Linked DNA regions of Danio rerio. The protein of the gene in region 6 purifies or fractionates together with the protein of the main gene of each other region. This does not show direct contact. Links are inferred from orthologs where the notes say so. Each region holds a gene or a part of one and is shown on either strand. Other genes may lie near its edges.

Region 1 (4,004 bases), on a different chromosome or scaffold from region 6:
GAGAATAAGGAGCAGCTTCGCAGAGCAGAGAGGCTTCTTGAAGGAGGGATGAAGAAAGAACCAGTGGGGGAGCGAAAGCCTAACCAGATTGGGATTTTAAATGGAAAAGTGGAGATAGAGGGATGCCAGATAAACAGAAGAATTGGTAAATGATTTGGAATCAAATTTGAAGGATTGACAGTTTATATTGTGAGTGAGGAAGTCTGATCAGCTTCTCTGACTATTCCATAAAAAAACCAGATCAAATTTACAACATTCATTAAATGTCACATATATTCAGCGATTATATATGTATATTATTATTAATTTAATTACAACAACAAAAAGACATCATCAGCAATAAATAATACATAAGCTAAAAATCTAAAACAGTTTAGGTTTACTTTTGGTAAAAAAAGTTAGCCTTTCTGAAGGATTCACATTTAAAAATATTTCTTTAAAATCTTTACAGATAAAAATTGTAAAAAATAGGGCATAATAAAAATGTGTTTAACAGTTAGGTTTCTGTTGCTCCTTTTAGTAAATGTTCAGTAAATATAATATTATTATTCAATGGTACACTTGGACAACACTTGCTTATGAAATAACAAAGCTCTTATTTAAAAGTAAAAACATTACTAAACATGCCACTTTTTTGTAACAACAATAAACTCTATTATCACTAACTGAATTAAAGGGATAATTCAAGCAATCTTTTGTATTTAAGTTTACTCAGCCTCTACTGGCACTAAATGCAGATTAAGATTTTTTTTCCTGTGAAACACAACAAAAAATATTTTAAAGAAAGCTGGAAATCAAACCCAAAGGTTTTGGTAAATGGTGAGCCACCTTTTCCTTTTGAGTGAACTATAAATCGAATGCATCCTTGATTAATAACGACATACATTTCAAAAACCATACCCAAACTTTTATAAAGTACTGTGTTGGTACTACAGGGAGTGTGTAAAGTAGTGGTTCTTAACCCTGTTCCTGGAGATCTACCTTTCTGCAGAGTTTAGCTCAGGGGTGTCCAAACTTTTTGGGCCGAGGGCCAGATGCAAAAAAACAAACGTTGTCGCGGGCCAAATTTTACATACATCACACAGACACGCATATATATATATATATATATATATATATATATATATATATATATATATATATATATATATATATATATATATATATATATATATATATATATATATATATATATATATACAGTTGAAGTCAGAATTGTTAGCCCCCCTAAATTATTAGCCCCCATTTATTTTGTCCCCAATTTCTGTTTAACGGAGAGATTTTTTTCCACACATTTCTAAACATATTAGTTTTAGTAACTCATTTCTAATAACTGATTTATTTTATCTTTGCCATGATGACAGTAAATAATATTTGACTAGATATTTTTAAGACACTTTTATACAGCTTAAAGTGACATTTAAAGGCTTAACTAGGTTAATAAAGTTAACTAGTCAAGTTAAGGTATTAGGCAAGTTATTTTATAACAATGGTTTGTTCTGAAGACTTAAGGGGCTAATAATTTTGACCTTAAAATGGTTCATAAAAAATTTAAACCGCTTTTTATTCTAGTCGAAATAAAACAAAAGTCTTTCTCCAAAAGAAAAAATATTATCAGACATACTGTAAAAATGTCCTTGCTCTGTTAAACATCATTTGGGAAATATTTAAAAAAGAAGAAATAAATCAAAGAGGGGCTAATAATTCAGACTTCAACTGTGTGTAGATAGACAGACAGACAGACAGACAGATAGATAGATAGATAGATAGATCATAACAAGAACTACTGCTTAATTGAATGCATGTAATAGCGACACCCGGTGGTTATTTATTGAATTACGTTCATTTTTGTATAGCGGGCCAGATTCTATTATTATTTATAAAAAGCCTCGCGGGCCACCACAAAACTGATTGCGGGCCGCAGATGGCCCGCGGGCCGTAGTTTGGACACGCCTGGTTTAGCTGCAACCCTGATTAAATGCACCTCTCTTTATTTACCAAATGCTCCTTTAAATCCTACTTAGTTAACTTAGTTGTGTGACCAGGCTTGAAGCGGAACTCTGCAGAAAAGTAGATCTCACCACCTGGTGTAAAGCAACATCTTTCTTACACTGAAACAAAGATAAGACCTACTGAGGCACGCTATATTGCAACATTGAGAATGACATTTCCATTGGTACCTGGATGTTTTCCCCAAGGCCTGAGATGAGGATGGAGTTGGATCTTGGACTGCCTGCATTGGCGAAACTGCTGTTGACACATTCAACAGACATTTTAGGGCTCTGAGTCAGATCATCTCCACCTCTAAAAGAAAAAAAAATATTGCATTTTGATTGCAGGAGATGACAAACGGTATGACATTTTTTGCACATTGTGAAGTTAATATGAGATTTAAAAGGTTTAATCAAGTTTTACTATGAAAACATTTAGTTAAATACACCACCTTGCACCGCTGTCTGAGCTGCTCATGGCCGTGACAATGGTCAGACTGCTAGCACTGCTGCCAGGAGAAGCGGGCATCTGAAAAAACAAGAACCATGATGAATGTATTCATCACTGAAGGAACCTAAAGGATGACGCTAAGATAGTAAAAGCTTACAGAGGCGCTGGGTGTCATGAAGGCATCCGGGGTCATGAGTTTGGGCAAGGCTGATGGGGCTGGACTCATGAAGTCAGCGGGACTTGGAAGAGGCAGAATCTTACTCAGGTCATTTTGTGAACCACTATCGCCAGACTCCTTGTCAGAGCTCATTGCCTCCACATTCAGATCAGCCAGCGGGTCAGAAAAACCTGGAAAATTTAAAAACAAAACAAACATTAAAAATACATACATAACCAATAACATGAAAATACTCCTAAATACTTTTTTTGCGGTATTAAAATGTGCAATATATTAAAGTTTAACATTAAAAGTATTTATTAATTAAATTATTTAAGTGTGAAAAAAAAATTCAAAAATTCAAACCACAACCGCAGGTAAAAATATTTTTCGTCATATCCCTTTAGATTCTGCATTGGCAATCTAGGGAACATAAATATAAACATATAAAACTTCATACTCACTGAACCCATCCTGTGATCCAGACTGAGGCATGAAGAGTGAAGAGGAGTCCCCCTGATTGGGCTGAAACCAGATCTGCACATCCTGTAGTGATCTGTGTCATAAGAAGGTTATAACAACATATTAAACGCTACACATTTAAAATTCAAACTTCATGTCAGTAGAGTTGTTGTTAGATAAGAAATTCTCACTTTGTATGCACACAGTAGAGTTTAATCTGAATTCCTGATCTGGACTCAGAGGTTCCCTGGTTTCCTTCTGTGAGAAGATATTAAACCACACAAGAATCATTTGAATGACTCACTTGAACATGAAGCTAACATGAAAACAAAGAGAAAAACCGACCTGCTGTCATGCTTTCGCTTTCTTCTTCAGGAGGAAGGACCTCAGTATGGCGCAGGCGAGCACGAGAAACATCCTGAACACCGAAGCTGAGCACAGGGTGTGTGAGCAGAAACTCTGAGACTGCAGTGAAACTGGCACGGCCTTTCTCTTGATCCTGCAGCAGCTCCATGACATACAATACCTTCATATCAAACACAAACACACACACCTGAATCAACTGCTGAGAAACCACCAGTGCTTACTTTAAAAACAACCTTGGCCTAAACTCAAAAATCCTATTTAAAAAGCCAAACGCTGCATCTGGCAAACTGTCCATGCCTTTAATTTGCTGTTATACTGCATGCATGACTTTCTATCAAAATACTAGCAACATTTCTGAAATTCCCAAAACATAAGACAGACCTGCTGTAGAAATCTAAATAAGAAAACCTACAATTCACTGCTTTGTCATTTTGATGTAGTCCTTTTGTCTAAAAAAATTATGCATTTTCTTTTTTGAAGGCCTGTTTTCGTAACCTTTTTACATTATAACACATAACCTATAACACATTAACAGAGTAAAGACTATATACAGAGAATGTAATCTGCACAAAAATTA
Region 2 (4,004 bases), on a different chromosome or scaffold from region 6:
TAACATGTTTGATCATTTTTGTCTTTCTGGTATGAAAATGGTGGTTAATCTGCAATTCTCAAAGGCTTGATTGTGTTTATTTGTTTTAAAAATATCGAATTGATTTTTACACATTTAACCTCTTTGTGGTTCTATTAAAATGTCATCCTCAACGTCTTATGATTGCTTTGCTGGTCCAGTGTGTTCTTATTTGTTGGCCTCCTTTTGCACATTGAAGGAAACGTTTCGCCAGTAACTAACTAACTAACAAACTAGCTAGCTAGCTAATTAACCTAAACTAAAGTGTTACTAAAAAGAAATCACAATCAATGACCTTGTTAAAGGGATTGTTCAACCAAAATTGTACATTCATTCATTAATTTTCTTTTCAGCTTAGTCCCTTTATTATTCTGGGGTCGCCACAGCAGAATGAACAGCCAACTTATCCAGCACATGTTTTAGGCAGCTAATGTTCTTTCAGCTGCAACCCATCTCTGGGAAACATCCATACATACTCATACTCTATGGACAATTTAGCCTATCCAATTCACCTGTACCGCATGTCTTTGGACTGTGGGGGAACATGCAAACTCCACACAGAAACGTCAACTGACCCAGCCGAGGCTCGAACCAGCGACTTTCTTGCTGTGAGGTGACAGCACTACCTACTGCGCCACTGCTTTACTCTTTTTGGTAGGGAAATGTCCTTAAGCTGGGATTCGAACTCGGGACGACCTGACATGCTACAGCACCATATGTCGACACACTAACCACTAGGCTATTCTGCCGTCCTAAAATTGTACATTTTAATAAAATACACAGAGAAAAAAATATTGTTGCAAACTATTTATATGGGTTGAATTTAAACAAACAAATTGAATGTAGTAATGTTTAATTTGATTATTTTATTTGTTTGTTAAAATTCAGACCAAATGAATTGTTTGCAACCACTTACCTTAAAAAAAATTGTATAAGTAAAGTCAATGAATATTTTATTCAGTGTATTACCTCACCCTCAAGTCGTTTCAGGCATTTATTTGAGTACAAAAGAAGATATTTTGAAAAATATTAATAACTTGTAACTATTGACTTCCATAGTAGAAAAAGCAAATACTATGGAAATCAATGGTAGCAGGTTTTCAACATTTTTCAAAATATATTTCTTTTGTGTTCAACAGAAGAAAGAAAGAGGTTTGGGACATGTGAATAATGAGTAAAGGATGACATAATTTTGTCTTGGTTGAACTATCCCTTTAAGACCCAGAGGATAGAACATACATACATTCAACAGTTTATAAATGTAATCTTGTTGTATTACTGTCTTAATACATTAAACATTATCAAAATAATAGATTTAGGAAATTAAATTTAGCATATTACAGCCATATATTCAAGGTGTACCGAGTTTAATTAAATCAAATATTAGTAAAAATATGTTCATTTGTTGTTTGAACATACTGAAATCAGTGTTGATGGCTCTTAAAAGTCTAAAAATGCCCCAAATTATTCCCAAACTAGAAACTAAAACTCAACTTACTTAAACTTTGGCTTCCAAAGAGAGACTTCAGGGTACAAGAAGCATGATTCAGTGTATAAAAATGAATTAAATTGCTTTGTTCATTCATGAAACACCCACACTGAATAAATATGTCACCATCCCACTGCACTGTATCTCCACAGCCCTATGGACAGCCGAGCCAGAACGACATTCACAAGCAGCCTCTTCCTCCACTACCAGGTCAGATTTACACACAACAATAATCCCTGTCCTAGTCATTTCATGCTGCCACACAGTATTTGTCTGTCATATAGTCACACTTCTCCTGCTTTAATTCCCCTGTCGGCCGAGACTGTCATTGTGCAGAGTGAGTCAGCGCTTTTTCTGCTACTGTTCGTTGCTCTTTGTTGGACGCTGCCCAAATCTATTACACAGCTCCTTTGAGAGGTGCCTTCTGGATCAGCGGCATTGCTGACAATAGAACGGCACCGCTTAAGTGCACTCACCTGAAGGTTAACTCACTTTAACTTCACCTTTGTTTTTCTTTTGTGTTCTTTTTTTCTTTAGTGGGTGTTAAGGATGGAGGCTTGTTTGACGACCCCTCATACGTTAATGTGGATAAACCCCGCCTCCCAGCATCAGCAGCAGCCAATGGAAATGCTCATAGAGACGCGTTTGACATGAGTGAGTGATGGATGCTTGGTGACTTTTTGTAATATTTTAATGATTTATTTATTGTGCAGGGTTCCCGATCAGGTCAGTGGTTCAGATTTTTACTTGCCCTGCCAAAATTTTCACTGGCTCCACCAAAAAAAAAAAAGTTATTGGCTATTTCTTAGCCACATATTTTAAATAATGTGTTAAAAGCCAAACATAATTGTATACATACATTTTTTATTCAGCAGGACATATATATGTCTATATAGGATATATATATATATATATATATATATATATATATATATATATATATATATATATATATAAAAACGAGAAGTGCCATGAGATTTTTAATGACCTCAGAGAGTGAGGACTTCAGTTTAACGTCTCATCCCAAAGACAGCGCTCACTTCACTGTGTTCACACCAGACGAGGAAAGCGTGGATATATTGTGCTATTCGCGTGTAAATAGACGCATGAACATTTGAGTTTACTTGCTGTTTTCGTGCGTCAAAATCGCTTCTTTCACGCATCAAACCCTGCTTAATTCGCGCATCAAATCCGATTCATTAGCGCGTCAAATCTGATTCATCCGCTTGAAAATCACTTCAGAACAGACGCTAATTCACGTGGTGGGCAGGGCTTCTGTCTGCCCGGTGACTGTAGCTTCATTGCTAAATGTCTAACATAGATTTTATTGAGAAAATAACAGTGTTTATGTGCTTTATGAAGGCTGAAAAACAGCGTTGATACGTTTGGAGCAGTTCACTAGATCCTTTCAGAGGTGCACCCAGCTCTGTGAGCTCATAAACTCCTCTAGAAACTTAAACTAGATGATGGAAGCATTTAGCGGTGCTTCTGACTGAGCCAAGCCCAGTTGATGAACTGTTGTTGGTGTAGACAGGGAATTTTCCCCCGGGACACCAACAACAGGCGCTACGTCATAATCACGTCCACACAAGAGCAAGCTCCTGATTGGTAAACGCGGCACGAATGTCCGCTGAAGTTTAGATTTTTGAACTTGAATGATTCATGCGAAAAGCGAGTCAAACGCGCAAAACATTCAATTTGCGCCGTGCCATTCACATGTATTGAGTCATTTGCTTCGCACCATGCCATTCATGCATATCACGGTGCAGGATGTCTATTCACGCCTTTGCCTTGACTTAACATGTAAATCATTCCCACTTGATGCTTCTTCCATGTCTGGTGTGAACACAGCATAAAAGTATAGTGTCCCCTTAACTTCACAGGGGCATTAGGGTTGAGTGCCCCCTGCTGCTAGTAACAGTATTAATTTGTTGAAGCCATGTTATACTAAAAAAAACAAGCAGACAAAAACTTGTGAAACAAATTTGACAAATTCTTTGTAACAATGAAAAAATCTTCATTGTCTGTTTTGTTTGTTTTTTATCGTATTGACCCCACATTTTTGTACAGGTTTCTATCATTTTACAAAACCAAACATTCAATAAAAACCATAAAGCATAATTTAATGAATAAAGTATGGACCTAATAAATTTTACGCTTGATGATAGCTTATTTACAATTGAATGTGGTAAAGCAGGGTAGTATGCTGTGTTTTTTCCTATTTTGAAAACAATACTTTGGTTTACTATACTTAGTAAATTAGTTCAGTAATACTGCAGATGTAGATTCACAGAGTAAAAATGCTCCAACCATCCAGTGATGCTCTGCTTTCTTTCTTCAGAACCGTTTGATGCAGCGCTCGTTGTGTCGGGTGCAGTGGCACTTCCTCTGGCAGAGCAGCTGCAGAACGAGCCCTGGTTTCACGGGCCTCTGAGCCGCAGGCAGGCCGAAAGACTCCTGACCAAGGATGGAGACTTCCTGGTGCGGGAGTCAGGCA
Region 3 (4,608 bases), on a different chromosome or scaffold from region 6:
GAATGCTCTTGTGTGTTTCATAAATATTGAGTTCACTGTAAGCAATATTGTAAAACCTTTTCTGTTCTATTACCGTGTTTCTACACTTTCTGAAATAAAGGTACTCGAGCTGTCACTGGGGTGGTACATTTTCAACAGGTACACAATTGTACTTAAAGGGTTCATATTGGTACCTCAAAAGTATATATTAGTACCTAAAAAATTTAAGAGGAACACATGTACCTTTGAGATATGAACATGGACCGTTTAGGTACACGTTTGTACCTTTTGAAAAGGTACCACCCCAGTGACAGCTCACGTACCTTTATTTCTGAGAGTGTGTGTACCTCCTGTAGTAAACAGTTAAGGAAAAAAATATTTGCTTTTTTACCTGAATGCTTTTGATTGTGAACATTATTGTACAAGCACATATGATTCCCAGCCAAGAAACTTACTGTCATAACTGAAACATAAAAGTCTCTACAGTTTATGTAATGTCAACAATAGCCAGTGTTTTGAAACCCTGTGAACTTTGATTAACTGCATGTACCTTGTGAAGTGAAAACAAGTGTTATTCTTTTACAGAATCATTTCATATCAAGTCATATTTCCAGTGTTTTGGTAAAGTTAGTGTGTGCAGAGAAAGATGTGTTTTATTTTTACTATTTCCTAAATGATGTTTTACAGAGCAAGAAAATTTTCACAGTATGTCTGATAATATTTTTTTTCTTCTGGACAAAGTATTTTTTTAAATAGTTTTATTTCGGCTAGAATAAAAGCAGTTTTTAATTTTTTGAACATCATTTTAGGGTCAAAATTATTACCCCCTTTAAGCTGTATTTTTTTTCGATAGCCTACAGAACAAACCATCATTATACAATAACTTACCTAATTACCCTAACCTGCCTAGTTAACCTAATTAACCTAGTAAAGCCTTTAAGCTGTATAGAAGTGTCCTGAAAAATATCTAGTAAAATATTATTTACTGGCATCATGGCAAAGATATTAAAAAAATCAGTTATTAGAAATGAGTTATTAAAACTATTATTTTTAAAAATGTGTTAAAAAAATCTCTAACAGAAATTGAGAAAAAAATTAACGGGGACTAATAATTCATGGGGGCTAAAAATTCTGACTTGAACTGTATGTCTCTAAGAATATCCAGCAGATGGCGCTACAGGTATGTTGTAAAATAAATGAATAAACAAATAAATAAATAAATATACAAATAAAAATAGGGAAAATGTTTAAAAGTTAAATAAAGCAAAAGTTAAAGAAGGGCCATGTGTTTTAATTTACTAAAAAAAAGTTTAGGTTTACCTGCGGTTTTCATGCTCTGGTTTAAACTTTAAATTAAAATAAAATGAATAAACATTAAAAATATAATAAAAACGCACAGATAACATTGGTATATTTATTTGTCATTATTTGTTTTGCACTATAACTACTGACAGTAACTATTGTCTAGTAAGCTTAAGGCAACTAATACATCAGTACAATATCACTATTATATCCCAGGCAAATAATGCACCATGAAACAGAGTGAATTAAAGCGAAAGAGATTTTTCTGTAATGCTTTAACATTCTTTTAAACATCAGATTTGTTTAATTTCTTTCAGTGGACGTGCGTATGAGTGTGCATGTGTGTGTGTGTTTTCTGTACGTGTGTGCGAATGTGTGTCTTGCTGTCTGTCTGCGTGTGTGTGTGTGTGTGCGGGTTCTGATCTGGCTGAAGTTTGCTCTTGTCTCTGTTCCTGTTTGGATGATTATTTCGACGCATAATGAACTCCAGCAGTTAGGAAACCGTCTATATCTTCTCGAGTTCAGAAGACAAAGATTAATCGCACAAATGGTGAAGTTTACCTCAAAGTTTTTGAATGTAAGTGATTTATGTCGTGTTGCAGTTTGACGCTGTTTATAGCATTAGCGTTAGCATCGGATGAACTTAAGCAAATCACAATTAAAAGTACCCGCAAACCGAATGGACCAAAAGTAACGTAAAGATGGATTGTGCTTTTTGAACGTCTTTGTTCTTGTATATTTTGTCTGTAAAATGTAGTTTAAAGGTTAAGTGATTATGTGAGATTAGTTAGCAGAAGTTAGCTGAGTTAGCCTCTCACACGGAGATTCAGAGAGAAAATGAACTTTCAGTAAGTTAAGTTGTCCATTTTACTAAAAAAGAGAAAGTTTGTTTTAACATAACACACTTTTCTGACAGTTGGCACTTCTTGACATCCGTCAATAGTTTTGTCGTGACAATAAAAAACATCTCAACATTTTCCTGTTACTTAAAATAAGTTCTATTGAAATAAATATGCACACATTAAAACTAAACCCATTAATACCAGCATTAATGATCGAATATATATTAGACAGTTTAAAAACTTTCATTTAAAAGTCTTTTATTTACTTATTAATTGATTGATTGATTGATTTGTCCATGTTTAGCCTCTGCAATATCACACCTAGGATGAAATGTCAATCGAAACGCCTTGTCTGTCTATCAGATCTTCAGTCTGTCTGGTCTGACTTAATAAAGTGTGCTGTTATTAATCACATGATGTTCTGTTTTTTTTTTTCTTTTCAGGACAATGTGGACTACAGGTCTGTTGTAAAACTGAATCTGGGTCATTAAAGTAGTAAATCCTCCAGTCCGACAGCATGGATCCGCTGGCCCGGTCCGGAGGGGAGATTCAGCGCAGAAACCCACAGCATGACTTTGAGCTGATCCAGAGAGTTGGCAGTGGAACATATGGAGACGTGTATAAGGTAACTGAACAGTTTCAGACCCTCATCTCCACTTTAGCAGCAATATATACATGCATACATGCTTGCATATATAGTGTCAACATTTGAAGTAGGGCTGCACAGTATGTCGTTTCAGCCTCAACACCGCGATGAGTGCATCTGTAATAGTCCCATCGCAAAGATATGCAATGTTGAATCTGACCATGAGCTTCAGAATTGTATCTAAGCACTGTATATATAAGCAAATTTCTATGATTTTTTTCTTACTTAGAATTTTTGTCTGGTTCTAGTCCATTTATCTACATTTCAAAGTGAAAACAAGATTATTTTACTTACTCCACTGGTATAGTTTTAATTTTTTTAGGGAAAAACTTAAATTTCACATTTTTTCTGATAGTAAAAACTAAATATATTTACTTGCTCTTGGACTAGAAACAGGACAAAGTAAGAAAAGCATTTTTTGATTAAATTTCTGTACCTGAATACTGTTAGACTCCCCCAAAAAACTATCAAATTGAGCTATTCAAACTATCTGTTGAAACTGTATGCATATTGCAATGTTTATCACAGAAAATGTAAATATGGCAATATCAGATTTTTCAGATATCGTGCAGCCCTACTTTAAAGGGTATCAAAAAGTTTTTCAAAAATGTCCTAAATAAACTCTGGGCCTTATAGAATATTACCAGGACAACTTTGATGAAAGGATTTGATATACATCAAATGTTGACTAATAGGGATGCTCCGATCAGGATTTTTGCAGCCAATACTGAGTACCGATTCCTTGTCAGGGTGAACAGCCGATACAGAGTACCAATTCTGATCCTTCAAGCTTTATAATGTATAAAGCACACTTTCCCTCTAAGTATGATACTTAAGTGGAGATCTCTCCTTACCTAAGAAAATAAATTAAGGATGCTGCATATAATACCTTAAACATGTCTCTTGTAACCATTTAGGCCAAAATGTCATGTCATAGCCAAAAGTAGCTTTACAGAAAACATTTGATAGCACAGATTAAAAATAGTAAGAAAAATGACTAACAAAGCAATTTGGAAACCACATGTCTCAATCAGGAAAAAGTCTGGAGCGCATATTTGATGCATAAGAAGTTAAAATGCACACCTATAAATTGATTACTTCACTACTAAAAGGAAATAGGCCTATAAGCTACTGTTTATTGCAGTAAGTAAAGTAATCTTGCAATATTGTCTAAAACACAGAATCTTCTGTTCTTATATGTAAAAAGGCCTAAATACATACAAGGTCATTCAAATATTTTGCTCATCTCCAACTAACACAAACACTACGGAACAAACGCAATCGGTTCATGAGATCGGCCAGATTAGCAAGTACCAATCGAGTCATTACATGTCATTATCGCCCGATACTAGTCTCCGGCCAATAGATAAGGGCATCCGTATTGACTATATAAAAATACATACATGGTTTCCACTATACACTATACATTTATTTCTCCATGGCTGGCTCATTTAAAACATTCAGTTGTTGTTGTTGTTTTTTTTAATAGCGGGTTATAATTGCACCAAAACTTATTAAAAGGAAAGGAATTATAACAGCACAAACTTTTCTGTAACCGTAGTAGTGCTGTGTGTTATCCGTTTAACCCTTTAAGGTTACATGCTGACTGACTGACTGATGTGTGAGGCCAGCAAACATGACGTAGCTTTCAGTTAAGATGAACAGTTTCCATAATTATACTTTATAATAAAAAATAAAAATAAACTTTATAAAGGTATATGGCTCTGCATACAATGACTTTATATTGCTGGAGTTAATAGCTGTTTCACTTTACTTCAGGACGCATTAATGCCATTCTGTAGGTCTATTGAAGACATTTATAAATATTCCTAGCAAATC
Region 4 (4,004 bases), on a different chromosome or scaffold from region 6:
ATCTGAGCTTCATTTTGGGAGAGCACTTTAAGTGTTACTTCAGATTTCTGAGTGTGTCATAATTTAATGGAACAGAATGTTTTTATATGTCCGGACATGCTCTCGCTGCAGATGATTCCTCCCTTTTAGCGTTCCTGGATGGATTATTAAGAGAGTGAGGTTGGCACTGGGATACAGAAAGGATAGTTTGGAATCTCAGCAAAGGATTGTTGTATTTGATCAGTCCAGTATGGATGGATGCCACCATGCTAATTAAAATTTCATCTTGCTAAAAAACTAAAGCACTCTCTCACACAGTTACTGTTTATAAGTCATTGTTCATCTCATTATTTACTCTCTCTAATGTTGATCCAAAGTTGAAGTATGCTTTTGGTAGAGGTACAGGCTCAGGACCCGATCCAGATTTCTTGCGGCGCAGGAATACATTTCAGAATAAAACGTGGTAGCTAACAATGTAGCGTTTCTGAGTCCCAATGTTATTTCTGGAACAGCATATCTGTGTTTTCCTCATTTTTATTGAGCACCATTAGACACTCAAAACCTTTTTTTTTTTTTTTTTGTCTGTGCACGTATCATCTGCATAATGGTCCTAAGTGCGGACTTTACCATGGAAGAGCAAAATGATTTAGCTTGCATTAGAAAATGGTCATTTACTTTTAAGAAGCCCACATTCGGCAAGTCTTATGTATGGGAGTCTTTTTCATGCGTTATATGAGGCAATTGGAAAAAAATTATGTTTTTTTTGGAAGACTGGAATCTCAGGCGGCACTCATGTCTCATCGCAAAGGGGCAAACAAAACTGACATTTAGCCTACAATCCTTGCACAACCACCTTGCACAACCGTTTTATGTTATCTCTCACTTTTAGTAGTACCCAATTTAAACGTGAAATTTTTGAAACCAGATCTAAATTTAGCGGGAACGGTTGGGTCAGGTAGAAAAATTATTTCAAGCGGGCAGCAAGTGAACAAAGGCTGAATATACTGCGGGATCGGTCGGGTGTGGAATAAAACCTGGCGGGACCGGGACTAAAAAATGAGTAGCGGGTGAACAAAAGGCTAAATATACGACGCGAACAGTCAAGTGCGGAATAAAACCTGGCGGGAGCGGGACTAAAAGAATGAGTAGCGGGTGAACAAAAAAAGGCTGAATGTACGGCGGGAACGGTCAAGTGCGGAAAAAACCTGGCGGTAGCGGGACAAAAAAAATGAGTAGTGGGTGAACAAAGGCTGAATATACTGTGGGAGCGGTCAAGTGCGGAATAAAACCTGGAGGGAGGGCGACTAAAGAAAATGAGTAGCGGGTGAACAAAGGCTGAATATACTGTGGCAGCGGTCAGGTGCGGAATAAAACCTGGCGGTAGCGGGACTAAAGAAAATGAGTAGCGGGTGAACAAAGGCTGAATATACGGCGCGAGCGGTCGGGTGCAGAATATAACCTGGCTGTAGTGGAACTAAAAAAAATGAGTAGCGGGTAAACAAAGACAATATACGGCAAGATCGGTCGGTTGCAGAATAAAACCTTAAGGGAGCGGGACTAAAAGAATGAGTAGCGGGTGAACAAAGGCTGAATATACGGCGCCAGCGGTCGGGTGCAGAATATAACCTGGCTGTAGTGGAACTAAAATAATGAGTAGCGGGTAAACAAAGACAATATACGGCGGGATCAGTCGGGTGCGGAATAAAACCTGGCGGGAGCGGGACTAAAAGAATGAGTAGCGGGTGAACAAAGGCTGAATATACGACGCGAACAGTCAAGTGCGGAATAAAACCTGGCGGTAGCGGGACTAAAGAAAATGAGTAGCGGGTGAACAAAGGCTGAATATACGGTGAGAGCGATCAAGTGCGGAATAAAACCTGGCAGTAGCAGGACTAAAAAAGATGAGTCACGTGGCATTCATTTCATTAGTGGACACAAAAGTAGACATGTAACTTAAGCTTTTAAGCTTAAAAAATGGTGTAAAATGCCATAAAACTAGTATAGGAGTCATCTATATGTGCAGTCTTGTAGAAATTATGTATTGAAAACTTTAATTTGAGAAATGGAAATTTAACACTGACTAATATTTTAGTTTGTTTATCACATATCATATCACAATAATTACGTGATTTCGAAAGAAAACTTGAAAGCCTATAAATTAAAGCCTAAAAACATATATAAAGTCAGTAAACAGCTTCCCCTTTAAAATGACTGAAGTTCTAAATTTAGCTTTTTAAATACTAAATCCTACTGGTTTATTGGCATCTTTGAGCTGGAATAAAAGATTTTTCACCCCAAGAATCAAAATATATTAAAAAAAAAAAAAACAACTGAAGAACACCACACTACAGCTATTATGATAACAGTGGGAATCCCTGTCAGAATGATTTTCCCCCTCCAATGAATGATAAAAACATTGACAACCAATCAGAATGTAGCTCTCTTTAAAGAGCTTTACAGAGCATTTAAAGCTGCAGTCAACAGAACTACAGTACATGCTTATATAAAGCACTGTTATCATGTGTTCAGTATAGTTTTTGCTTTTGGTTTGAGCAAGAATTCTCAAACAATTGTTTTATTTCTTGTTTGTGCAGTCAACTTCCAGTTCAGGAGACTGAGATCTCCTCTGCCACATCTCTTCCTGCTAAGCTGGAGCTGTCGCCCCTGCGCGAGCCGCCCGCGTCCTGTCCGCCCCCTGCGTCGCCCACCTCAAACAGCAGCAGGCAGGCAGATCCAGAGGAAGAGGGAATCGCTCACACCATCTCACGCTCTCCTGAGTCCAACAGCTGCAGGGCCACGTACACCAACCTGGGTAAGGCAAACACTCTCACACACACACACACACACACACACACACACACACACACACACATTTGATGGTTCACTTTATACACTCTGTCCATTTATTTGTGTGTGCATTGTAAGGTTCTGACCTGATTTGGCTGGCTCACGCTGATAAATTTGGGTTGTCATGGCAGCAGTGTGCGCGAGAGCATTTCTAGACCCATAAATAAGATCTGTTCTCTCTATCTTTCAATTTGAAGTCATTTAGTTGATTGAGTCGCCCTGAAGTTGTGCCGTGAAGTGAGGTATGGTTGTCACTGAATTGCTTTGCTCCCTTTTTAAGTTATTGTTGGGTTTATTTGTAAGATTTGTTGCACTGGATGGTTTATGTAGACTTGCTCGCAGCAAAATTAAATTGCAACTCTTGTATGTCATGGTGGAAAAATATTTATATTAAGGCTGGTAACTGATATGATGTGATGGTTGGGCATGGGTATCGTTAAGGTTTTAACGATATTACTACTTTTATCGATACCACTTATTGGTTCGGTACTTTAACGGTTCAAATATCGGTTATTTTTGTACTGTTTTTTTATTTAAAAAAAACAAACTGAATTAATCAAAATTGACAACATTTTATTATTAAGTTTTTAATGTAAAATAATGCAAAACCAATAAATGTAAAACAAATAAATCTTAAATTTTCCTGTTAAAGAATGGACAATGGTTTGAAGGAAAATTAGTTTTTAACCTTTTTTCCTCTGGAGAAAAATCCACATGTTTGCCTTTTCTTTTCTGGCAGAAGTCGGGATCTTTCTTAGTTTCTTGTGCGCCCTGCAGTTGAAAATACCCTCCTTTAGTTACAAAATGCAGTTAAATAATCAAATAATGCTTTCAATCTTTCTTTAACACATTCACATAAATGAGTCACCAGTGTTTGGGGAGTTAACAATGTAAAAATAAGCCGTTTTCTTTTATAATTTCTTAATAAGATTAGTGGTCCCAATTTATATTAAGTGGCCTTAACTAATATGTACTTACACAGGAATTACTAGTTTGTTACAATGTTATTATTGTGTAAATGCATGTATTTACTATGTACTTATGCTTGATTAAATACCTGTATGTAAATGCATCTGTAATTAACTGGTCACACTTTACAATAAGGTTCACTAGTTAATGTTAATTAATGCATTTACTAACATGAACAAACAATGAACAATACATTTACTACTGTATTT
Region 5 (4,004 bases), on a different chromosome or scaffold from region 6:
ATTAGATATATGTAAAAATATTAGCAGATGAATGTGATTGGCTGGACATTTGCTAATTTTAACTTTAAAGAACTGTAGTAATAACTCAACTGGTTGTGTTCTTTAAGCATATATTTAAAGCATTTATTATTTATTCATGTAAAAAAGACTGATGTTTTCGAATGTTTTCAGCTGCCTACGTGTGGTCAGTTCAGTTCATCAGCTATAAAAAACTGGCGTAACTTACTTTGTTTCAGACCCTTTTGCTGCAGTATTTGGCAATGAGACTTTTGGCGGAGGTTTTGCAGACTTCAGCAGCTTAGCAAAGGTAAGGATCTTGAACGTAAAACAGAAGTCCAGTATTTCAGCTGAGTTGCCAACCATATGATTTAAATGGACCCGACTGCAGCCACTGAACTTTTTATTTTGCCTTTCAGTCTAATGGCAATGATCCATTTGACTCCAGTACAAACAAGAATTTATTCAAGGAGGACACCCAGTCAGATGTACCGCCAGCATTACCACCCAAAACAGGAACCCCAACCAGACCTCCACCTCCACCCCCAGGTAAAATGGATTTTATCTATTGATGCACTGACCTTTATTTCATGGCTGATTCGGGTTGACCATTTCTTTCTTTTTTATCTTTTTTTTCTTTTGCAAACAAATTTTCTGATGCAAATTATTACATTATTCATTTTTATTACATTTTTTTTCCTCCAAATCCTCATTTTATTCCTTATATATAATATATATATATATTAGTTTTTTTGTAAATATATTTGTTTACTTTCAATTTATTGCATTGCAAGTAAAATTATACTATTTTACTTTAGCTTTGTGAAATGATTTTACTTAAAAACATAAATGTATAAGGAACAGTAGAAATGCATAATAACAGTAAATTCATTCTGCCTGTTGGTGGAATAGGTATTGCCCATAGTACATTAAAAATAGATGTTTACTATAGCCTTTTTAGAGGTATTTACAAATGAAAATAATAAACATCCTTATCATTGTTTTCAACATATCAAGCCTCAAATAATCACCTAAATATGAGTTGTGATAGAAACCGTCCAAACACGTCATATTAGTACAGCATTTAATTAAATGTTAAAAACATCACACAGTCATTTAAGTATTGCAGTATCAAGTATTGCAAAGAAAATATTTGTTCAGTTTGTTAATGTTAATGTGCTTGGCTTGTAACATTAAAATCATTGCAGTGCCGATTTTATGCAAGTCATAACAGAGACTGGCTTATTTAAAGCGCAAATCAGCAGGTTGTCGATCAAAAGTTTCTAAAAAAAACTAAAAACAAATACAAAAAAAACCCAATTCCTTCATTTGATTTTTTGCCAGTTGATTGGTGCATGTCTAATCTGAACAAACCAGATTCCAGATTGACTTAATTGCTCAGTTCAGAAAATAATGGACCACAAGGCTCCATAACGTCACCTGTATTTGAGTGCTGTGTTGTCTCTATGTGTATGTGTTAAAGGTAAGCGGTCCAACATCCACCGATCGGAGTCGTCCGAGTCATTTCACCGCCGCGGTCTGTTCAAGGCCCAGGGATCAGCAGAGTTCTCCTCCCTTCCCGCTAAAGACTCGGTACCAGACCCCTTCGCCCCTTCCTCACCCCACCAAGCCCCGTGCGACCCCAACCGATTCGCCAGCTTTGACAAAGTGAGCTCCTCCCCCTCTCCCTCTCCTGACCCCCAGTAGTGACCCTGACATTTCACCTGCGCAATGCAGCAGCCTTGACCTCTCGACCCCTCATAGCCCGTTTGTTTTCCCGGAAGGCTCCTCGTCCAATATTTTGACGACTCTTGCTTTATGTGAAAGCCACAAAACTGTCACTGTTCCTGTTTTTTATTTTATTTTTTGTAAATACATATGAGCTTGTAATGAAAATATTTATCCAATAGCGAAACTGAATCAAGGCTAACGCTTCTACTAAAACAAAACCCCAGTGTTATTTAAACCTACTATTGTTATGACTTCGCAGTATTCCTAACATCACGCATATAAGTTCTCACTGGCTGTGGAAGGAGAGGTGGGGCTGCTTGCTATTGGCTGTTTTCAATTCATCCCCCTGTGCTCTTTTGTCATGTTCTCCACCATTGGTTGAGGCTTGCACGTTTATTGCCCTGTCGTACTTTTATTCACTGATTTGCCTTGCCTTGCACTGCACGAACTAATCACTGTGTCCACTTGTTCTGTTGGGCTGCTACTTCCCACACATTGGTTCTTGGTTCCATCTGCATCCCATCATTCATGCACCACCTTTTTTTATTTTTAGAAGACATACAGTATGTTTTGTTTTTATATATGCCAAATTCAATAATCAGCTAAGCTTATAACAGCACTTGTTGGCTCCTTTCTGTATTATTATTATTATTTTTTAAATTAAAACTTATCCATGTGAGCTCTCTTTATACGTTGATGCATCCAATAAATTAAGCCTTATGAAGGCGCAACTCTTTGCTAATGAAGAGACTTCAAGAGAGAGATGACTTCTTTTTGTTTTCATGATTTGTGTTGAAGTGCTTTCCAGCTAACTGTAGTGATTACTCTCTCGATCCATTGTTGTCTACACCTTTACTTCTGTGTGAAATACCTGCATGTTCATGATGGGCCGTATGAGCAATCCAGGCCTAGACATATGAGTGCATCAGACGAATAAAACATCAGACTAAAACATCAGCAATGAAATGAGTAATCATTAAGCATATTTCTTAAATTGGTGTTAAATTACTTTTTATTTTACGTCAAGTCTCATGTGTCTGCAGGCTTATGAGCTGATGTTAGCTGTGAAGCTCTATGGATTGCATCATGGCACACATCTTGTATCTCTCATCCTTCTGTGTCAGTAGCTGTAGCACATTAGTAATTTTTCCTTTTATGTTTCTAAATGTAACAGTTCTTGCATGTTGATCTTTGTGGGATTTTTTGTATGTCATCATTATACTTGAGACAGGTTTTTTTGAACGCTCAGTTCTACAGTAGATAATTCTCTTTTAAGTTATATTTTTTCGGTAGTCTACAGAACAAACCACCGGTATACAGTAACTTGCCTAATTACACTAACCTGCCTATTAAAACTAATTAAGCCTTTAAATGTCACTTTAAGCTGTATAGAAGTGTCTTGAAAAATATCTAGTAAAGTATTATTTACTGTCATCATGACAAAGATAAAATAAATCAGTTATTAGGGTTGTTATTACTTCAATTTCAACTGGATTTTATATACATATACAGTTGAAGTTAGAATTATTAGCCCCCCTGTTTATTTTTCCCCCAATTTCTGTTTAACGGAGGGAAGATTTTTTTCAACACAGTTCTATCATAATAGTTTTAATAATTCATTTCTAATAACTGATTTATTTTATCTTTGCCCTGATGACAGTAAATAATATTTGACTAGATACTCTTCAAGAAATTTCTATACAACTCAAAGTGACATTTAAAAGCTTAACTAGGTTAATTAGGTTTACTAGGCAGCTTAGGGTAATTAGGCAAGTTATTATATGATGATGATTTGTTCTGTAGACTATCGAAACAAAATATATCTTAAAGGCGCTAATAATTTTTACCTTAAAAATGGTTTTCAAAATATTTAAATATGCTTTTATTCTAGCCAAAATAAAACAAATAAGACTTTCTCAAGAAGAAAAAATATTATCAGACATACCGTGAAAATTTCTATCCTCTGTTAAACATCATTTGGGAAATATTTTCAAAAGAAAAAAAAAGTCAAAGGGGGGCTAATAATTCTGACTTTAACTGTATATACATACACACACATGTATGTATGTATGTATATATGGTTATATATTCCCTTTAAAATGCACTTTAAGATGAATACAAGCATAAAATAGCTAGAAAAATACTAAGTTATGCCATCAAAGCAAAGACAAAAGTTAGTTATTAAAAGTTAGTTATTAAATGGTTTTGTATTTAAAAGGTTAGAAAAATCATTCCAGTATAAATTACTTGGTAGAGTTTTTTATTATAATAAAATA
Region 6 (4,554 bases):
TTGTAATACTGATATTCTGTTGTTGCTGCTGGACATGGATTTTAAAGAGATGTGAGATTTCTCTGTTTGTTAGAATAGATCCTTTAACCTCTAAATGATATTAAGATTTCATTTCTATTTATCCACTGATAATAAAATGATAAAGTGTTTAGTATATACCTATATTTAGTGCCTACTTAAAATTTCACATTATTCATATACGCAATTCAAAATAGTTCAAATATGCCTGTAAATTACAGTGTATTGATTAGATTTGTCTTCATGAAAATTAGACATTTTAAAATTAGATTTGTCTTAATTAATTACCCATTATTTTGAATTCACTTAAGTGAAAATACTATAGTGCGTTAACATCATCATAATAGCTTATAGCAGTAGTCTCAAACTCAATTCTGGAGGGCCACAGCTCTGCATAGTTTAGCTTTATCCACCTCCAACTCACACCTGCTTCATAGTCACTGGTAGTCTTGAACACCTTGATTGGTTGAATCAGCTGTGTTTGATTAGGGTTGGAGCAAAACTATGCAGAGTGGTGGCCATCCAGGATTCCAGTTTGAGAACTATGGCTTATATGATCAGTGTTTTTCTAAGCTCCATCTTCAAATTACGGTTTATTAGCCTACATGAATGGTTTAGTAGCCTTTGTAAAGGTGACCAATATGTTTCAATTTATCATGTCATTTCATGGTCAACAGGTAGCCTCAAAATCTCCTGCTGTGTTTCAAAGCCATATCTTTTAGTCAAGTTGTGCCATTACGGAATATATATCGATAAAAGTGCACTGAAGAGCTGTGAACAATGACTTGGTCAGTATTTCTGTACTCCCACAATGATTAATGAACCAAGGGAAATGCAAGGAATGACAAACCGGAACAGCAATATGTGTATGATTATTTGTAAACAAATAAAAATGTATTTGACTGTTGTTGGTATCAAAACCAATAAACCTTTAACAAATATACACTTCATTTATGCGTTACGCGACGAATAATGTTGGTCGTCAATATGTTTGATTAGACCATTTGAGAGCTGAATTGTAACTGGGTGAGACTGGTAGAAAGACTACAAACTATTAGTAATCGATGTCGACATCTAGTGGTTGCTAATTTTGTGGACTCGCTTGTAAAGGACAGTGTTTACGCACTTCCGTTTTTTTTTTTTTTTGTAATAATTTACAGCACTTTCGACCTTTAAATAAATTAGCGAATATGGTTGATGAAAATCATATTTAACTTATGTTTTAAAGGGATGTCTAATTTGTTAAATTTAGTAGACTAACTGTTAGACCACTTACACTATGTTTGTTTGCTCAGGTAATTTCGGGGTCAGCCCGCTTGGACTGGTTAACAACCTGTTTGGACCAGCCACTTGAACCTCTCACTAGAATTTAACAAAACTGTTATGTTTAGCGGAATTTGGGTTAATACAAAGATTAATGCGATGCAAATTGATCAGTATAACTAATGTAAATTCAGAAGTTATAATTGTGTTCATATGAACAATTCCGAAATACGATTACATAAATTAAAAATAAAAAAAACGGTTGGTGTTAAAAAAAGATTGAAACTCCATAATGATACAAGATAAGGCCTTACTTTCAATATTGACCGCACCAATATGACCACCAACAGACACCATCCGCGTCGGCGGCTATTGCATCACTTCCGGGAAATAAGGTCAAAAATTGTTTCCCTTGTCCGCCATTTGAAATATTTGAACTTCCTTGTGACAACTTCCAATGTACGTTTTGGTTTACACTGGACAATTATCAGAAGTTCTGGGTGAATAGCCGCGGTTTTTGCGTCCCATGCACGTTGGAATACCGACGTCAATTGTTTTGTTAATCGATTGGGCCAAAAAGCGTTGAAAAGTGTGCGAATGCTGCGCGTATTCGAAACGTGTTCAACAACGGAACGCGGTAAAGTTTTTGCATGAGTTGAACGCTGCTTGCGGATAAGGAGAGGCGAAGGGAAGGCCTGTGAAGCCTGGGCTTTTTTCTAGCGCTAGTCATGGCCGGAAATTTTGATTCGGAGGACCGAGGGAGCTGGTATTGGGGGAGATTAAGCCGGCAAGAGGCGGTTTCGCTGCTCCAAGGGCAGAGGCATGGAGTGTTCCTGGTGCGGGACTCGATCACTATTCCCGGGGACTACGTGCTGTCTGTGTCGGAGAACTCCAAAGTCTCTCATTACATAATAAACAGCATCAGCAGCAATCGCCAGTCAGGACCAGGTAAGCGTTTGAACAAATGTATTTAAATACTATTAACGACAGGACGGATAAATACTGCTTTAGCAAAGCGCTTAGCAGCTCGATGAAACTTCTATACTACGAATAGTTGTGCATATTCAGTCTAAAATCTCGCGTCATTCTGGGGTGCTGTGTAACCAGGGGTTCGGTCTTGTACACTACGGGCCCCAAATATCATTCTCGGGTGTAAAATGATTTGTATGCTTTCGTGTATGATGCCAGATTTGTTATGTGAAAATTGTATACAAATTCGTTTTATAATATAATATAGGAAACGTTTAGTTGCAATATGTGTCATTATTTAACATAGTTGTTCAATTGTTCACACGTTAGCAGATTCTTTGAAGTATCTTTATTTTATCTACTTACATTTTGCTTCGTTTGAATCGTGTCTTATAATTTTGTGTTCTTGGTTTGTTTATTTGTTTGTTTATATTAATTTGTGCATATTTATCTTGACTAAATGCTCGTTTATTTCAGTTTCACCCTTATTTTAAAACCGCTGCTTCATTACATTCTTACTCCGACATACATGTCTCACCTTATCAACTTTTTATATAACAAATACAATCTTATTAGTTATGTGTCTGTCATTCATTTGAATTACACGCATTATTATAGGTCATGTCAATCACTTATAACATAAACTCACTTTTTTTGTTTGCAGAAATGATCAGCAATATTTAATTTCCAATCTTTTTTGCTGCTTTTCCCATAGGTTGAACCCATAAAATGTTACATTGTTATACTATGTAGTTTTTGCAACACTTATCAGATTTTCATGGATTAGAGAGAGTTCAGTTTAAATGTACACCCCGATAAAAGTTCTAAACCTATATTAGTTTCTCTTTTCTGTTGAACACAAAAGAAGATATTTTGAAGAATGTTGTAATTAAGTAGCCATTTACACCTCCATATTAGAAATAAAATGCCTACCAAATTCCTATGTTCAGTAACTTTTTTTCGTGTTAACATTATGATGAGTAATTGTGAAAAAATTGAATTTTTTGCTGAGCTACCCCTTTAAATTTAAGCAGATCTTGATTATCCATCCATCATCTCATAATGTCATCCCGCAGGGCTTGCTCCTCCTCGGTTCCGGATTGGAGATCAGGAATTTGATGCCTTACCTGCCCTGTTGGAGTTCTACAAAATCCACTACCTGGACACCACCACTCTCATTGAGCCCATTAGCAAATCCAAGCACTCGTCTTTCATCAGCGTCAATGCGGGGACAGGAGGAGCTCCTCCGAGGCTAGAAGAGGAGTACGTCAGAGCTCTCTTCGACTTTCCCGGCAACGACGACGAGGACCTTCCATTTCGAAAGGGTGATGTTCTTCGAGTGCTGGAGAAGCCAGAGGAGCAATGGTGGAATGCTCAGAATTCAGAAGGCCGTGTTGGCATGATCCCTGTGCCCTATGTGGAGAAGTACCGACCTGCCTCACCGACATCAGGTGCACCTGGCGTATCAGTCAGTGGGTCCGGTGCTCACGGCAACTCTGACGGCCACAGCACTCAGTCTCCACCTCTGCTTGGTGAACCGGGCCAATACGCCCAGCCCACATCCTTACCCAATCTACAGAATGGCCCAGTTTATGCCAGGGCGATTCAGAAGAGAGTCCCCAATGCCTATGATAAGACAGCTCTTGCTTTGGAGGTAACAAATGTAAACTTTTCTGAGATATTAATAAATATAAAAATGAAAATATTGCATCATTTATGAACCTTCAAGTTATTCTAGATGTATCCAGTAGTCAGCATTTGAAGTGGATCAAAACCTTCCATCTTAAGTTGTACTAAAATAGTCCTATTTAACAACATCCATTCTTGCCATGATTGTCAGAACTTTATTTGATCTACTTTAAATGTGGACTACTATATGTCCTATTCCTGACAAACACTAATGTGACTTAGCTTTGAATTGCAAGTAAATGTACACAATGTTTGCTTCAAAAAAGCACATTAATGTGTTATAAGTCATTCATACTGCTCAGTGGGTTATTTAATATTTTCTGAAGCAAAGTGTTAAGTTTTTGAAAGAAAAAAAATGCTTATTTAAAAGATTATAAGCTCATATAAACTGGAGCTGCACAATTATTTAAACACAATGTTCATGCACGTCGTTTTGTGAGTAAAAGCCAGCTCTGTGGTCAGTAGTATATCTCCAGCTTTCAAATGGAGCACCATTTACTAGTTACTCATAGTTCATGATCTGTTTGGTAAATGCAGCTACATCTAAAATCAAATAAAGATACCACATTTAACATGTTTTAACTTCCAATTTGTCTTTGAGATAATGTGGCTATT
Region 7 (4,478 bases), on a different chromosome or scaffold from region 6:
TTCATATTTTAAAAAATTATGGACAAACCCACTTCAGTGTTATTTTTATTTATTTATTATTTATTTTTGTTTAAATCTTTTTGACTTTCATTAGTACTTCATATTAATTAATGAAATAATATATATGCTATATATGTTTTAATTATAAAAATATTGATAAAAGTAAAATGCAACATGTATACCTTTTATAATACATTATGTATGTTTTGTAGGTTATTATATGTATTATTATAGTGGGCCTAAAATATTAATATACATTTTATCATTAAATCAATTAACATCATCTTTTTTATTTATTAATTTGTGCTTACACAAACAATTATGATTGCATATAGCCATCATTTTATTAACATTTAAAGTTAGATTTTTTTAATTAAATATCAGCGTCCTTTGTTATTTTTTGTAATTTGTTACACAATATATTTTGAAATAAAAATCATATAAATCATATAAAAATCAATAAAATCATATTATATTTATATGTATTATTTAATAAAAAGTTATATGTAATATTTATAAAAAGAGATATTTTATTGATATAATATGTTGTTGTGTATATATATATATATATATATATATATATATATATATATATATATATATATATATATATATATATATATATATATATATATAACTGTAACATATATGTACACACACACACACACACACACACACACACACAAATAATGTTATTTACTGTTTGACTATTTCTTTACTATTAAATTAAATATTATCATCCATTAGGAATATTTGTAAATTAAGTTAAGTTATATTACTCAGTAAATTAATTATATTATATAGGAAATGAACATATGTATTATTTTAAATACATTTTTACATAAATAAAAGTATTATTTATGGAGGACGAAACCTGCAAAAATTATTAATAAATACACAAATATATAAATGAGTAAATAAATTAATAAATTCTTGCACAAATGAAATATGCAAATATATAAATAAATGAGTAAATAAAGCCGTGAATTCCTGCATTCTAACTTTCAGTTTAGCATCTTCTTATTCCCCTAACATTCTTGTAGTTTTGTTAAACATTTACCTGCCCGCGCTATTAATTATTTATTTTTGCAGGAATGTATGGATTATACATTTATTTATTTATTATTAGCATTTTTTGTTTTTACAGAAATTTATCGTCCTACATAATTGTTTAGCTACGAACACCAAGTATATATTTTAATGAAATTGTTATTATGTGTTCATTCAACATGTACGGTTTTAATTTATTTTACTTTAATTTTTTATTTTTTTAATAGTTTGCTAATGGTCAACAGGCCAGTACGCGGGCGCGTGTCCGACTCCTCACGTGCTCGCGCTGCGCGTGCACTTGTTGAAAACTTCTCCGCGTGCAATTGCGGAGCACAGACGAGCCACGAAACAGAGTCGAGCGGTAAATCGCGGGCTCCTGCTCCCGTTATCGACCCAGAACGACCGCGAAACATGGACGATTTAGGTAAGCGTGATCTCCTTTAACCTTTGACATCGGAAAATTGTGAAATGGGAAGTTTGACGCGACGCTAGAGCGCTAAAATGTGGCTGAAGACGCGGATGGAGCGCGCTCCTGTTGCCAACGTCATCGCGCGCCGATGCTTGACTGCAGCAACACGCTGAAAAACATACTCTCTGCTGCGGTTTAAACCTGGGTTTATTCGCGTATTTTACTCTGTTTTCTGTAGCTTCTCAATGGGTTGTCGGAGTCAGCCTGATTCATTGTTCACATTGAGGTGAAGTTGGTGTTATTCACGTATTCGTTCGTTTTTTTAACAGTGAAAACTTGTGAAGCTACTTTGGGCACTCAATCTGAAATCGCATTTAAGTAACTTATGACTTCAAAACAACATTAGCACCATTACATTAACTGTGTGTGAACACTATTGTGCTTTGATACTCATTGGCTGCTAATATGATTGAGATTTTGCTAATAATACTTTTCTGGATTCATATTTTTAAGGAGAATGAGCAAATATAAAACCAACTTTACCTCAATGCTCTTCACAGCTGCTCTTGTAACACGAAGATACGTGATTAATATCAGATCCTCACCAGCGCAAACTCACAGTAAGCTCTATATTTACCCCTAAATACAGAAGTTGATGCTAGTTAATATGCTTGTATATAGTTCCTGTCTGCTTGTAACTTCTGAAATGTGTCAACAAAACAGTGAAGTGTCAATTCACAGCCGTCCTCCAAAGTTCACTTACTATCTGCTGAAACTTAAAGTTGAACATGTACAGTTTTCTCACCATCAAGTGGTTCAAAATCTTTTTATGAGTTTCTTTCTTCTTTTAGGAAGATATTTTGAAGAATGCTGAAATTAACCGTTGACTTTCATAGTAGGAAAGACGAATACAATGAACGTCAATGGTTACAGGCGTCCAGCTCTCTTCAAAATATCTTATTTTGAGTTTATTAGAGGGAAGAAATGAGTAAACGATGACACATTTTTCATTTCTGCGTGAATTATCCCTCCATAAACCTAGCTTTTAGTCTTATATTGTGCTTTTGTTTTCATGTCTTTTGTGAAATGCTCAGTAAACATGGTTTCCAATGCCTTTCTGTGTCAACACCAGTCGTTGTTAGCATTTAACTAGTACTGTCTTACTGTTAGGTAGTCAATCCCGTTATCTACAGCTTTTGATGTTGTGGCTTGTTGACTTGTTGCCTGGGGCGACGAGAAAATGAGCCGCACTGCCTAATCTAACTAATCTCAATATTAGTGCCTTGAGGCTGCTGGGTTAAGAGTGACGCGCTGTTTAGTAAAGTTATTTTCGTTTATCTGTGACGACCAGGCATTTGTTTAGACGTTAATGTGGGACCAAGATCAGAAATTCACCAGGACTTTCTTATGTAATGCCAAAAATCACAGTACAGCAATTCTATTGTTACGCATGGGACATTTGCAGTATAAAAAATGTAGAAGACCAGTGATTCTTCAACTTTTTTCACCAAGTACCACCTCAGAAAAAATAGTCCCTCCAAGTGTCACCATAATGACCAGTATTAATGCATATTAATGACGAAAACCTGCTAGAAATGCTCGCTAAGTATTAGGATTTGGTCAAACATGTTAATGAGTAGGGATGGGGATTGTATTATGTCATCAAATGAGTCTTTTCCTAAATATGCCTGACTAGATATTTGGGTTTATATGCTGTAAATGTATGGAATCAGATAAGTCTCAAAAGAAATTCACGCAAAAGACACGATGTACACATGCGTAGCCAAATTCACGTGCGTAAAATATTTATTCATATTCACAAAAAAAATTCACGTGCACAAAATAAAAATAAGTTTTCATAAAATATGTTTCACAAATGCAAAACACCATTTGCAAATTTATAAGAGTGTGCAAAAAGTTTTGAATGTTTAAAACATGTGAGTTCATCCTGAATGAGAATGTGCAAATCCTCTTTCACGTACGACTCCCCCTGGATACGTGTGTGTGTATTTTTGAGACTTTCCTGCCAGAGTCAGGACTACTCGTACCTTTCAGCCAATCAGATGAGAGCTGTATTCAATGAAACCAACTCTACGCTTCTTTTGCGCAGACTGTTCCTCTCCAGCATGGCGAAGGGAGAAAGCAGCAGTCGCACTTTTTTTTGAATTTATTAATTTATTTGACCATATCCTCACTCTTTTAATCCATTTTATCGCAGCTCCGCTCTTCTTATGTATTGTCTCGTAGCCGCATGAGCAAGACGTATCCTGCAGGGTAATGATAAGCATCATTCCGGCCACATGATTACAGCAGCGCCATTGTGGTCCAGTGGTCAGCACGTTAGGTTCTTATACATTTGCAAATGGTGTTTTGCATTTGTGAAACGTATTTTATGAAAATGTATTTTTATTTTGAGCACGTGAATTTTTTTTTTGTGAATATAAATAAACATTTTACGCACGTGAATTTGGTTTTATGCACGTGAATTTGGCTACGCATGTGTACATCGTGTCTTTTGCGTGAAATAGTATTGAGTCTAATCTGTCTCCATATAAATGTTCTTACACTGAATTACATTTTAGTATGTGTTCTGTAAATCATGGTAAAATGTATTATTTTGATCTAAGAATATATTCAACAGTCTGCCATGTAGTGCACAGAACTAATATAACATGCTAGAGCTAAATCACATATGATGCTTTGTCCCATGAATAGACAGCACATGAATGAAGAAATCCACTCATAAATATAAAAAAACTCCAGAGAAAATCAATTCCAGGTGTGCGTTTTGTCATGGTTTCCTATGCTGCACGTGGCTGAGAAGCAGCAAACTGGCTAACACCATACTTCAACCAGATTACACTGTTATATTTTAGAGTAGTAAACAAAATTGGCCATAGGATATGAGTGCCTGTGTGAATGCAAGAGTGTATGGGTGTTTCCCAGTACTGGGTTGCGGCTAGAAGAGCATCTGCTGCGTAAAACAAATGCTGGAATAGTTCATTCCGCTGATATATAA

Evidence for each region.
Region 1: the proteins of crk (region 6) and edc4 purify together in Homo sapiens (affinity purification with mass spectrometry; 3 studies listed by BioGRID and IntAct, with this or other methods). This does not show direct contact. The link is inferred for Danio rerio from reciprocal best matches to the Homo sapiens genes CRK and EDC4.
Region 2: the proteins of crk (region 6) and shc1 purify together in Homo sapiens (affinity purification with western blotting; 3 studies listed by BioGRID and IntAct, with this or other methods). This does not show direct contact. The link is inferred for Danio rerio from reciprocal best matches to the Homo sapiens genes CRK and SHC1.
Region 3: the proteins of crk (region 6) and map4k5 purify together in Homo sapiens (affinity purification with mass spectrometry; 4 studies listed by BioGRID and IntAct, with this or other methods). This does not show direct contact. The link is inferred for Danio rerio from reciprocal best matches to the Homo sapiens genes CRK and MAP4K5.
Region 4: the proteins of crk (region 6) and peak1 purify together in Homo sapiens (affinity purification with mass spectrometry; 4 studies listed by BioGRID and IntAct, with this or other methods). This does not show direct contact. The link is inferred for Danio rerio from reciprocal best matches to the Homo sapiens genes CRK and PEAK1.
Region 5: the proteins of crk (region 6) and eps15 purify together in Homo sapiens (affinity purification with mass spectrometry; 3 studies listed by BioGRID and IntAct, with this or other methods). This does not show direct contact. The link is inferred for Danio rerio from reciprocal best matches to the Homo sapiens genes CRK and EPS15.
Region 7: the proteins of crk (region 6) and pxna purify together in Homo sapiens (affinity purification with western blotting; 4 studies listed by BioGRID and IntAct, with this or other methods). This does not show direct contact. The link is inferred for Danio rerio from reciprocal best matches to the Homo sapiens genes CRK and PXN.

What each region holds. Positions count from the first base shown.
Region 1 is NC_133193.1:23,287,400-23,291,403, forward strand, and holds part of edc4 (enhancer of mRNA-decapping protein 4), read right to left. Parts: intron 3,588-4,004; coding exon 3,407-3,587; intron 3,320-3,406; coding exon 3,253-3,319; intron 3,156-3,252; coding exon 3,064-3,155; intron 2,791-3,063; coding exon 2,600-2,790; intron 2,521-2,599; coding exon 2,444-2,520; intron 2,305-2,443; coding exon 2,181-2,304; intron 80-2,180; coding exon 1-79. UniProt on the Homo sapiens protein: In the process of mRNA degradation, seems to play a role in mRNA decapping. Component of a complex containing DCP2 and DCP1A which functions in decapping of ARE-containing mRNAs. Promotes complex formation between DCP1A and DCP2.
Region 2 is NC_133191.1:24,101,524-24,105,527, reverse strand, and holds part of shc1 (SHC-transforming protein 1), read left to right. Parts: intron 1-1,659; coding exon 1,660-1,717; intron 1,718-2,044; coding exon 2,045-2,161; intron 2,162-3,848; coding exon 3,849-4,004. UniProt on the Homo sapiens protein: Signaling adapter that couples activated growth factor receptors to signaling pathways. Participates in a signaling cascade initiated by activated KIT and KITLG/SCF.
Region 3 is NC_133188.1:40,224,662-40,229,269, reverse strand, and holds the start of map4k5 (mitogen-activated protein kinase kinase kinase kinase 5), read left to right. Parts: upstream 1-1,680; 5' UTR 1,681-1,831; exon of another isoform or gene 1,832-1,858; intron 1,859-2,566; 5' UTR 2,567-2,640; coding exon 2,641-2,748; intron 2,749-4,608. UniProt on the Homo sapiens protein: May play a role in the response to environmental stress. Appears to act upstream of the JUN N-terminal pathway.
Region 4 is NC_133200.1:8,121,902-8,125,905, forward strand, and holds part of peak1 (inactive tyrosine-protein kinase PEAK1), read left to right. Parts: exon of another isoform or gene 1-1,639; intron 1,640-1,718; exon of another isoform or gene 1,719-2,306; intron 2,307-2,573; coding exon 2,574-2,791; intron 2,792-4,004. UniProt on the Homo sapiens protein: Probable catalytically inactive kinase. Scaffolding protein that regulates the cytoskeleton to control cell spreading and migration by modulating focal adhesion dynamics. Acts as a scaffold for mediating EGFR signaling.
Region 5 is NC_133183.1:18,301,389-18,305,392, reverse strand, and holds part of eps15 (epidermal growth factor receptor substrate 15), read left to right. Parts: intron 1-236; coding exon 237-307; intron 308-416; coding exon 417-546; intron 547-1,480; coding exon 1,481-1,665; intron 1,666-4,004. UniProt on the Homo sapiens protein: Involved in cell growth regulation. May be involved in the regulation of mitogenic signals and control of cell proliferation. Involved in the internalization of ligand-inducible receptors of the receptor tyrosine kinase (RTK) type, in particular EGFR.
Region 6 is NC_133190.1:27,216,535-27,221,088, forward strand, and holds the start of crk (adapter molecule crk), read left to right. Parts: upstream 1-1,706; 5' UTR 1,707-2,009; coding exon 2,010-2,229; intron 2,230-3,326; coding exon 3,327-3,904; intron 3,905-4,554. UniProt on the Homo sapiens protein: Involved in cell branching and adhesion mediated by BCAR1-CRK-RAPGEF1 signaling and activation of RAP1.
Region 7 is NC_133180.1:7,312,009-7,316,486, forward strand, and holds the start of pxna (paxillin a), read left to right. Parts: upstream 1-1,405; 5' UTR 1,406-1,461; coding exon 1,462-1,474; intron 1,475-1,587; exon of another isoform or gene 1,588-1,704; coding exon of another isoform or gene 1,705-1,745; intron 1,746-1,972; coding exon of another isoform or gene 1,973-2,079; intron 2,080-4,478. UniProt on the Homo sapiens protein: Cytoskeletal protein involved in actin-membrane attachment at sites of cell adhesion to the extracellular matrix (focal adhesion). Recruits other proteins such as TRIM15 to focal adhesion.